Mus musculus: one gene and its partners. The protein of the gene in region 1 interacts with the protein of each later gene in a pairwise test. Links are inferred from orthologs where the notes say so. Each region holds a gene or a part of one and is shown on either strand. Other genes may lie near its edges.

What was found.
Region 2: the proteins of Crk (region 1) and Ppfibp2 interact in binary tests that used the Homo sapiens proteins (3 or more experiments, as listed by UniProt). The link is inferred for Mus musculus from reciprocal best matches to the Homo sapiens genes CRK and PPFIBP2.
Region 3: the proteins of Crk (region 1) and Dppa4 interact in binary tests that used the Homo sapiens proteins (3 or more experiments, as listed by UniProt). The two-hybrid records come from large-scale screens. The link is inferred for Mus musculus from reciprocal best matches to the Homo sapiens genes CRK and DPPA4.

Annotation. Positions count from the first base shown.
Region 1 is NC_000077.6:75,703,259-75,706,093, reverse strand, and holds part of Crk (adapter molecule crk), read right to left. Parts: intron 2,729-2,835; coding exon 2,591-2,728; 3' UTR 1-2,590. UniProt on the Homo sapiens protein: Involved in cell branching and adhesion mediated by BCAR1-CRK-RAPGEF1 signaling and activation of RAP1.
Region 2 is NC_000073.6:107,593,575-107,597,850, reverse strand, and holds the start of Ppfibp2 (liprin-beta-2), read right to left. Parts: upstream 2,801-4,276; 5' UTR 2,550-2,800; coding exon of another isoform or gene 2,472-2,549; intron 1-2,471. UniProt on the Homo sapiens protein: May regulate the disassembly of focal adhesions. Did not bind receptor-like tyrosine phosphatases type 2A.
Region 3 is NC_000082.6:48,282,339-48,286,534, reverse strand, and holds the start of Dppa4 (developmental pluripotency-associated protein 4), read right to left. Parts: upstream 2,801-4,196; 5' UTR 2,718-2,800; coding exon 2,694-2,717; intron 1-2,693. UniProt on the Homo sapiens protein: May be involved in the maintenance of active epigenetic status of target genes. May inhibit differentiation of embryonic cells into a primitive ectoderm lineage.

The sequences.
Region 1 (2,835 bases):
TCAAAAGATCACCAAGCCAAACATTTGGCCATACTTTTATTTACTACATATACTATAAACATATACAATACATGCTACAAAAAAAAAAACATTTTTAAAATTTAACTGTCAAGAAAGTGAATAGTGTTATAATACAATGGCACATGTTCATATTTTATTTCAAATTGGTTTGCTTATCACCCATTTCAAACCATTAATAGTGAAATGTTACTTGTGGAAAATTAAAATTATCTATTTGCATTATTAATAAACATTTTCAACAAATTAATAAGAATTAACCATGTCAAATATTAGTATCCAAAAATGGGCTCTTGCAGAAGTGATTATATAAAACATAGCAGCCAATTTCAGTTTACTTTGCTCTGTGACAATGTACATACGCATCTGACTAGGATTATAGCACTTGCTATTTTTGGAAGATATTTGTAAGAAGTCCTTTGATCTCTTGAGGTCCAATAACTGCTACACCCAGCCAAATCCAACCAAACAGTTCACGTAATGGCTCTGAATAACTAATCACTGAGGAGTTCGTAGGCTTCACGGAGAGCTGCAGATCCCATTCCCACCACATATAGTGAAGAGACAATACAAGCCAGCATCAAAGGCAAAAGAAAATACCAGCATTCAAATCAGTTGTGACGATGATTTTCTAAGAAGTGTTTTCGATGCCATAATTTCAGGAACAGATTCTTTTTTGTTTTTGTTTTTGTTTTTGAAACAAGGTCTCACTTTCTAACTCCTGACTGTTCTGGAAGTAGCTCTGTAGACCAGGTTGGTCTTGAACTCAGAGATCCACTTGCCTTTGTCTCCCAAGGGCTAGGACTAAAGACATTCACCATCACACAAGGCTTAGGGAAACAGGATTGACTGTGCATTTGGATTTACACAATCTATGCTAACTGAAAAGTGAAACAAGCAGTCAGGTGCAGTAAGTCACGTGCTACAAACCTGTCCATTCAGTATCACTGACCACCTATTATGAGCTCAGAACTGGGCCAACATCTCTAAAGTTGAGTATTACTGTTTTTATCAAGCTACAGTGAGGTAAAAAATGTATTAAATTAGCATCAACTCATTAAATCTGCCTGTGGTAATGTATGCCAACTGGCGTCCCTGGGCCATACAACACGCTTCTGCACTCTGCTCATTCTTTCGTACAAAATCTCTACACACGTGCTCAGCAATGTGCTAGTCACTTCAGTCACATGATTTGGTATATGTTCAATGAATGCAAATTCATCATATTAATCTACACAAGACAACTAAGAAGGTAAATTATTTTTCTAAAATGAGGTTCAAAGCAAAGTATAAGGTGTTTCTATTGGTCACCTACACCAGAGACCAGCAAGTGCCTTTATCACCTGAAAGTCTCATGTTACAGTCTAAAGAAACCCTATAATTTGTGGCCTCAGAGGCCTAGTCTCTGGAGCATCTGACCTCGTATAAATCATTCTCTACTTTAAAGGGTTGTAAACTAAATCTGGACAAAGGAGAACCCAAATGAAGGCAATTTATAGTGTAATATACTTCACCAACTATTAAACCATGTAAAATGATACATAAGTAATTTACGACTGGAATAGTTTTCAAAGTATCAATCCTACCCAAATGCATAGAATTCTAACCTGCCTTTTATACAACTTGCACATGATGCAGAGGGCAAAGTTTGGCCCTTGATACCTTCTATAGGATACAGTAAGTGATTGGTCCTTCCACTCCAAGTAGAATCTGAGAACTTTGAGCATCCCATTAGGATACTAGCAATCAGGAAAAATGGCCCTGCCAGATCTGTCCCATCAGTAAGGTGAGTCTTGAGCTGTGGTAGCAGTGTGAACCTACGATGCCCCCTTGGGGGAAGGCAGAGAGCTGGGAGTTTATCCACTGAGTGAATCCAATACTGGCTTAAAGCTATGCACTGAATAAAGTGCTCTGTACATCCTGCTTCTCATCTGGAATGAAGATATACATTATCCTAAGAATCAAGCCACTTATAGGTACAGGGGAGGAGAGTAACAAGGAAAGAATCCAAGAAAAATCCAAGGAAGACAAATGCCTCTAGTAGTGTTCTCAGAATCCTCAGGATTTGAAATGTCAGAATGAGTCATACAATGGTCATGGTCCATAAATGCAAATGCAACCCCACTGGGTAATATTCACACAGTGCATGATTACGTCATGGGAGTGGGGAACAGTCTGCTGCCACTTGACAGTATGGATTCAGGATGAAAACAGAACCTCTGAAGAAATCAGGGTCAGCAGTGAGTAACATTCTTTTCCTGCCCATCAGCTTTCCACAGGTTGATCTGTTTTGCCCAAAAGAAAGGAGGCAATGTATTTACGTCTTCTCATACAGGCACGGCAACTACCACCTAAAACTGCCAACTCAGAAGTTAACCACATAAGCCCTCCGGTTTCGTACCCTGAATATGGTAAATACAAGTGAGAATGGAGTAGTTCAGTCTTAAAAAAGATCCCAGGTAACAGAATGCTTATATAAACTAGACTGCTTTGACACCTGTAAGAAAATTGTATAGATGGCAATTGGGGGGAAACAGATTGTTCCATCTGTCAGCAAACTGTCGAGCTATACTCAGCTGAAGTCCTCATCGGGATTCTGTTGATCCAGCAGACGGACATGTGTGAATGGGAAGTGACCTCGTTTGCCATTACACTCCCCTTCCCACTGACCACTCACATTAATCTTCGTAACCTTTACCAGCTCACCGACCTGCAGGACGAGAATAAGGAGAGTACTTTATTTCCAGTTAAGAATGCAAGGTGAAAATCTCCATTCTCTGTTAGGCACACCCTGCCCACGTGATTGCTCTAGGGCTG
Region 2 (4,276 bases), on another chromosome or scaffold:
ACTCTAAAAATAAACACACATAGGTGCCTTCAAGCACAAACAAAACGAAATTCTAGGGTAGCAAAGGGTAAAGGAAGTGGAACTCCTAAGAGGAAGGAGGAAGCAAGAAAACCAGTGACTCAGGAGAATCCAAGCCCAGAGTTTTAGCTTTACTTTTGTGCACAAAGGGGTGACCGTCATATCTTATATGGAGTCACACACTTTATAGGTCTTAACGTTTAAAACATGTCACCTATATATTCATTCTTTCTCCCTCACCAGGGGATTTGAAACAGTAATGAATCATAAATAGATCTGTATTTCAGGAGAAACCATCCCCACACAAACTTATGGACACACACAAATTAGCTGCTGACCAGTATTGTCGAAGTAGTGCATCCAAAATTGAACTAGAATTCTCCAAGAACTGTTCCTTTTCCTAGAGTCTTATTCTGCCTAACCAGTATAAAGGCTGACACCTCCCTTTTCCTGGCCCTGGTATTTCTAGGGTCTCTTTTGTCTACTCACACTTCACTCTCCTCATAATTATCTGAATTGGCCTGCCAGTCTCCTAACTGGCCTTCCAGCTGTGGTCCTTCAGGCGCTACCAAGTCCAATAGTGGATCCCACCCGGCTGTTATTAGAAACACCTGGAGAATGCCAAACATGCCTGGGACCTACTTAACCTGAAGAGTTTGCAAAACTCCGAGGCCTTCGGAGAGTTTGTACATCACTCTTAATACTTGATACAAACAAGAAAGAAATAGGTTAGAAATACAGAATGCCAGACTTCACCCCTGACCCACAGTGTCAAAAATCTACTTTTGAAGATCATCTCTTGATTCTCAAGCTTGTGTCTGAAGCACAGGGCTCTAAAATGTCAGCTGACCTTTCTCTCCACAAATGTTTACTAGATTTCTGTCAGGCTGGGGGTTGGGCAGGTCAAAGTTCAAGGACTCTAACTTTGATAAGCTCAGCAGACCACAGTCAGTCTCTGCTTAATATCCCATACATTGAAGTCTGTGGCCTTGGGCCAGCTGGGACCATTGGTTTTGTTGTTATTTTGTTCTGTCTACCAATCAGGCCAGGAACCAAGAAGGACCAGTAGCCATTTCTTATAGACTGAGTTTGCCTTATAGACCTCTCCATGGCCCAGGTCACCGCTAACATCTTCCTGTGACATCCCTCATATAGATTGATCCTTCTTAAAACCTACCCAGATTTTCCTTATTCTGGTGAAAAAAAACAAACAAACCCCTAGAATTTCTGTAAGTTTGTTCCAACCTTCATCTGTCTTTATCTCTTACATGTATCTCTTATGTTATCCATCCACTTAGCATATCTGCCTTAGTTACCAAAACACAGACAATAGTAGCAATAAACTAAAATCGGCACATCATCAAACCTCAGAGTGATACCACTAATATATTATGTGAGGGCTGAGTGTTGTTGCTCAGTGGTAGAGCACTTGCCTAGCTAAGCATTCACAAGGGTCTAAATGAGATCACCAGTTCCCATCACCATCAGCCTTAAATAAAATCCCAAATGAAAATAACAACAAAAGACTTAACAATATTCCACTTCAAAGTCACGTAAATATGCATACAAACGGGCTGGTGAAGAAAGAAATAATTTCTAATCAGATAACATGTTTAGTATACCAATAGTAATCTAAGACTGAAGATTAATTAGGTCTGTAATTGACTTCCTTCCTGTAGTTGAGCATTTACCTTAACAAAATACTCGGTAATCTAATAAACACTACAGTCTACAATATAATCAATTAAGGACCAAGAGAAATGAACACAGGCAGAAATAAAACCAAAATATGAAGAGGAAGACTGATCTATATCAAATATCTCAGTGCTCTAAGAAAGAGCTGAATGCCTATTTGAATCCTACCGGAACCTTGGAAGTTCTAGTTTTTAAACATATAATAACCTTATTTTGATCGGAGGGAAAAGTATGGGTCTGGCGTCAGGATGGAAGGAGGGAAGAGGACCCACTTTTAAAAACAGAAGCATCCCCACACCCTAATCCTGCCTTGAGCCTTTGGGAAGTGTGTTGCATTTAGCAATTAGTGCACAGAACTGCTCCTGGCCAAAGCGCTCTGGACCAAAGGTCTATGGAACAAACCCACCTAGGTATCTCCAGTTGATGCCACTGCTGCCCTCACGGGACTCAAGGCTTGGGTCAAAATCGCCCGGAACTCTGAGATATCGGAACACCCCGGTATCCTGGGGACCACTCTGCCACCTGTAGAAGCGCGGGGCAGGTGGCACATCCAGAGCGAGGTCGGGTAGAAAACTCAAGCAAATCCAGGGGAGTTGCTCCCTTTTCTCAGTCTCCCAGACAAATAAGTGGGTCCCCAAGTCTTGAAAACGTTCGAAGGTCTAAAAGACCACAGACGCCCAACTACCCATGTAGTTCTTGGATCTGGGGGTACTCAGTTCCCGGGATAGCGGTGAGCCGAGGCAGGGAGACCCACTGACCTGGATGCCAGAGTGCAGCTTCTCTCTCGGAGGCTCAGGTATGCAGGTCGCTCCTGTGTCCCTCACACTTTCCAACATAAGAGCGGAGAACCCAGTGACAGGCCACTGGCCCAAGGACCAACTGCCAACCAAGTGGCAGACCCGCCAGCACCGACCCGGTTCGGCACCCACGTGACGGAGGCGGGGATCCCAGAGAGGCTGGTCCCGGAGTGTGGCTCTCTGGCTGCTGGGACCTTCCCCCTAGGAACCGCCCCTCTGCCACCCCTCCTCCTTCTCCCGCACCGCAGTGGCCCGCGAGGACCCAAGAGCCACAGTTCCAGTTCCACAGGGACTTGCCTGGTCAGCCCCGCCCCCAGGCAGAGCTCCCGTGCTGGCTCAAACCCCGCCCCTCCCGGGAGACCACGCCCCTCTCTGGGTCCAGCCCACTGCTTGCACCTAGGACTCTTGCACTCTTCCGGCCGCAGAAAGGACCCTAGGCATTTTCCTTGTGTCCCACTGTGCTCAGGTCTCCAGAGTTTTTGTAATCTGTCAGCAGGACGAGGAAAGCGTGCGGAGAATTGCAGAAAGGAGCACCGAAGCGCAAGCGTACACACACACACACACACACACACACACACACAGCGGGCCTTGTGTAACCCCATTGAGATTAAGGGTAGTCTAAGACCTGTATCATTCCCAATCAGCCCAGACCAACCCCAATTTGGGTTCCATGTCACTCTTAGATCTGTCTAACTCAACCTCCGCCGCCGCTCCCCCCGCCTTTCCTGAAGGTCCCTCTAGTGGTTAAAGCTCTGGTGTTCTGTCTTGTGAATAGCTGAAGACAGAACACTTCCTGTGCCCTGCAAGGTCAGGTACAAGTATGCAAAACAAACAAACAAAAAAAACCTGGAGACCGAATCCCAGCACCTACCTCGAGCGTGCATAAGGCCCTGGGTTTTACCACAGCTGCTTGCCCTACCCGGGCCTCCAAGGGCCGGTTGCTCATTTTATCTGCTTAGAATCTCCAGGGCCTCAGATGGCAGGGATACAGGGACTCTGGCAGGAGTCTCTACTAAGCTGGACTCCAGTTGCTTACACCTGGAGTGTTGACAGACACGACTCGTCTTTTTTTTTTTTTTTTTTTTTTCAAAATTAGTCTAAAATTACTGGTATGACCAGAGGCTTGCACACATGAACAGAAGATCATAAATACTGTGGCAAACAGGTGTGTGAGCACTGCGGGGACATGGCCAGCAGCAGAGCAAAGGCAAAGCCAGTAGAGGAAGATTGGGGCCCCAGACTTGTGTCACAGCAGGACACCCTTCGGTTCTTTCACTTCCTTAAAATAGCGGGTGAGAGGCTTTTGGAAACAGAGCCTGCGCAGTTCATATAAGTTCAAGTGTGGGCAGTTCCAAATCCCACTGGTAGCTTGGGGCCACGGGGGCAGTTTCTTCCCCCAGGCCCCCAGAAACTGCAGCATTTTCTCAGAACTATACAATTATTTTGTAAAATGTTTTATGAACTTGGCTTTCTCAAGCTTCTGTGCAGTTTGGGAAGGAGCTTTAAAAGTACAGACGCCGGGCGTGGTGGTGCACGCCTTTGATCCCAGCACTCGGGAGGCAGAGGCAGGTGGATTTTTGAGTTCAAGGCCAGCCTGGTCTACAGTGTGAGTTCCAGGACAGCCAGTGCTACACAGAAAAACCCTGTCTCGAAAAAAAAAAAAAAAAAAAAAAAAAAAAAAACAACCAAAAAACAAAAAAAAAAGTACAGACGCTCTCCTCCCATCTCCAGAGGGTCTGATCTCTTGGCGTTGGAGAGGATAACCT
Region 3 (4,196 bases), on another chromosome or scaffold:
GCAAAACACATGAAACTCAAGAAGAATGAAGACCAAAGTGTGGATGCTTCGCTCCTTAGAATGGGGAACAAAATACCCATGGAAGAAGTTACAAAGTTTGGAGCTGAGACCAAAGGAAGGACCATCCAGAGACTGCCCCACCTGGGGATCCATCCTATATACAACCACCAAACTCAGACACTATTGCATATGTCAGAAAGATTTTGCTGACAGGACCCTGATATATCTGTCTTTTGTGAGGCTATGCCAGTGTCTGGCAAATACAGAAGTGGATGTTCATAATCATTTATTGGATGGAACACAGGGCCCCTAATGAAGGAGCTAGAGAAAGTACCCAAGGAGCTAAAGGGAACTGCAACCCTATAGGAGGAACAACAATATGAACTAGCCAGTACCCGAGCTCGTGTCTCTAGCTGCATATGTAGCAGAGGATGGCCTAGTCAGCCATCATTGGGAGGAGAGGCCCTTGGTCTTGCGAAGATCATATGCCCCAGTTCAGGGGATTGCCAGGGCCAGGAAGTGGGGAGCAGGGTGGGGGCAGGGTATAGGGGACTTTTGGGGTAGCATTTGAAATGTAAATGAAAAAAAAATCTTAAAAAAAAAAAGAATAGAAAAAGAAACAGGCTTGGTGACATACAACTGTAACCCTAGGCTAGGACCAAGGCCAGGCCAGCCCAGACTTGTAAGACTATCTTCGTCTTTGTTTTTTAGAGCTAGGGTTTTTCTCTAAGTAGCTTCCCTGGCAGTCCTGGAATTAGATTTGTAGACCAGGCTGGCCTTGAACTCAGAGGCCCGCCTGCCTCAGGGTAAGTGCTGGGATTTGGTCCACAGGCCCGCCCCCTATGGGACTGTCTTAAGGAAGGAAGAAATCCAAACTGAAGCTGTATTAGCACCTGTGCAGTGAATGCAGAGGAGGCACCAAGGATGTGACGGATCTGTCACATCCTTGGTGCCTCCTCTACCCAAGCTTAGGCTACAGGATAAAACTAAAGGATGAAATAGGTATGAACAGAGCAACAGAAGATAATGAAAGCAACCGGATAGTGGTCCACTCTTGGACAAAGAAAACCTTACTCTGTAGTCTCACACCCAAAAACTGTTTCCCCTAGTCCTTGGTTCTAGGCTCACCCAAAGAAATTTGTAGCCAGAGTGATGTACCAAAGGCACTGTCACTTCCGTGGCTTGATTTCCCTTCAGAGCCTCTCAGACATGGCCTAGGGACAGTTTCCAATTGTTAAAACAGCCTGGTGATGTGTTAGGACCCACCCACTCCTCCTTCAGTTCTTACACCTCACTGTCCTCCGAGTCTCAATTCAAGGGTTATTTTGCTGGAATCTCAAAAATCTACCACATGTTACCTCATTTCCATGTGTCAATTAATTCCATCTGATTTTAAACTCCATAAGAATGGGGTCCCTCTCCCTTTTATTGCTGAGGATGGATAATAAATATTCAGTTTAATTAAGGGAACAACAACAACGACAACAAAAAAATCCCTAAGCACAGAAAGAAACACACACACACACACACACCAAAAAAAAAAAAAAAAAACCTAACAAATATTAAGCCTCTTCCAGCATATACACGACTAAACACACTCCTTGCCTCATTTAATCTTTATATAACTTCAGAACCACTACTGTATTTTCAACATGGAGGGCCAAAAGTTAAAAGCTTATTAAAGCCAGGTGGTCATGGCACATGCCTTTATCCCAGCACTCGGGAGGCAGAGGAAGGCGAATCTCTTCAGTTCCTGGCTAGCCTGGTCTACAAGAGTGAGTTACAGGACAGCCAGGGCTACAGAGAAACCTTGTTTCAGAAAGAAAAGAGAGGGTGGCACCCGGGAGGCAAACCAACCTGGTTTACAGAGCGAGTCCCGGGTACCCAGGACTACAGAGAAACAAAACAATAACTCACTAAATAAATAAGTAAAACCACCAGGTCACTTAGCTCCAAAACCTAGGTCTTTTCCACCCCCCCCCTCCTCCACCCCCGCAATTGTGGAAGTGACAATTTAGCATTTCCTGTTACTTGACACCTCAGTTCTCTCCCATCACAATAGGGACCGGCTTCCCAAGGACTAAGATTTACTTTTGCACAACCTCTTTATAAAGGATTCACTTTAGGACTTAACAAAATTCTTACAATAAAGAAAGATGAAAATGGCTGGCGGTTTCTTGGGGAGGAGTCCAGGAAAGTGCTCAGCATCCTATCCTGGCTACTACAGTTAGGAACCAGCAGGTCTGCCATGTCAAAATTCATAGATTCTGAGGGCCTATGGATAAATTAAGGGGCCTGGAAGCCCTGTAGCAGGCACTTTTGGGTTAAGCCCTCGGGTCCTCTCAGGTTAACTGGGGACTCCTTCCGAGGCTACCCAAAGCCTCAGTTTATACCCTGTTTTATCCCGGGACCAGCTACGGGATTCTAAATTCCTTCCTAACAAAGCATTCCTTCCAAAACACACCCTCCTCTCCTAACACATCTACACCCGGGCCCCAGGGTCTCGCGCAAGGCCACTTCGAGCGGGCCCGCCAAGCCACACACCTGCCTTTAAATAATAATTTTTTTTAAAAAAACAATTAAGGTTGTAACAAATTGTAACGCTCATTCTTCTCTTCTCCAAACAATGGCTGGCTATACTCAAAAATGAGGGGCCCTCATTTGGAAAGCCAAATTGTAAAAACAGTTCTCACCTTCTTGTCTCCAGCAGTCTCCATCTTGAGAATAGATGAATCCTCCGAAAGAAAGTTCTCCCAGCTTCCAAAAGACCTCTGACCTCAGCCGGCTTTTCAAAATCTCCTCCTACTTCCTGTTGTCTTGAGGCCCTCTTCCGTTCCCCTCCCCTTCTGGTCCCACCCTCAACAAAATTGTGATGCTAAAATCTCCTTTTGTGGCTGATTTTAATAAAATCCCCTTTTGTGTGGTTTAATTATTAGGCTTGTTTCCTCGAATTTTTTTTTGTTTGTTTTGTTTTGTTTTGTTTTTGAGGCAGAGTTTATCATTTCTTTGCCTGGCCAGAAATGCGCTTTGTATATTGTACTGTCTCAACCTCCGGAATACTGCGATTTAGAGGTGTGAGCTGCTACCCCCTGCTCCTGGCAACTGTAGATCTGGGATATTTAAAACTGTAATTATTGCTGGGCGTGGCAGCACACACCTTTAATCCCAGCATTAGAGATGCAGAGGCAGGTGGATCTCTCTGAGCTCCTGGTCAGCCTAGTCTACATAGTGAGACTCTATCTTAGAAAAAAGAAAAAAAAAAAAAAAAGGGAAGGAAGGAAGGAAGGAAGGAAGGAAGAAAGAAAGAAAGAAAGAAAGAAAGAAAGAAAGAAAGAAAGAAAGAAAGAAAGAAAGAAAGAAAGAAAGAAAGAAAGAACCTAAATATTGCTAAGGGAAAGTGAAGTTCCTAGAGAATTCTGAAAAGACTGCAAATTTATCTAATGGAATTAGCATCCTGAACAGGAATGAAAACAACCCAGTTGCTCCAGAAATCCTTTTCCATGAGATGGCAGGGGGTGGGGGTTGCATTGTTTTGGTGGTTTCAGGGCTCACCCTGGGCTTTGTTTCTGTGCACCAATCAATCTACCACTGAGCTACAATCCCAGCCCATAAAATTACAACTCTTTTAATTCTTCCCCATCCAACCCTCCTTTTTTGAAGTCTCCACGGACCTGCAGCATACTGAGGTCTTCCTGTCTCATCCTCCTGACTGCTAGGATTCAAGGTGTACCCCACCACACCTGGCCAGGGCTTGAATTTCTGATCTTCTAGCTTCCCCAGGGCTGGAATTCAGGCCACCGAGCCTGGTTCAAAACTGTAACTTTCTATCTGCCAACTGTTTTTTTTTTTTTTTTTAAAGATTTATTTATTTATTATATGGAAGTACATTGTAGCTGTCTTCAGACACTCCAGAAGGGGGAGTCAGATCTCGTTATGGATGGTTGTGAGCCACCATGTGGTTGCTGGGATTTGAACTCTGGACCTTTGGAAGAGCAGTCGGGTGCTCTTACCCACTGAGCCATCTCACCAGCCCTTTTTTTTTTTTTTTTTTTTCTGCCAACTGTTAAAAGGTTTTGTCGTTGCTAGTTGGTTGGTATTTGATAACAGGGTTTCTCTGTGTAGCCTGCTGTCCTGGACCAGGCTGGCCTCGAACTCACAGAGCTCCTCCTGCCTCTCTGCCTTCTGAGTGCTGGGAC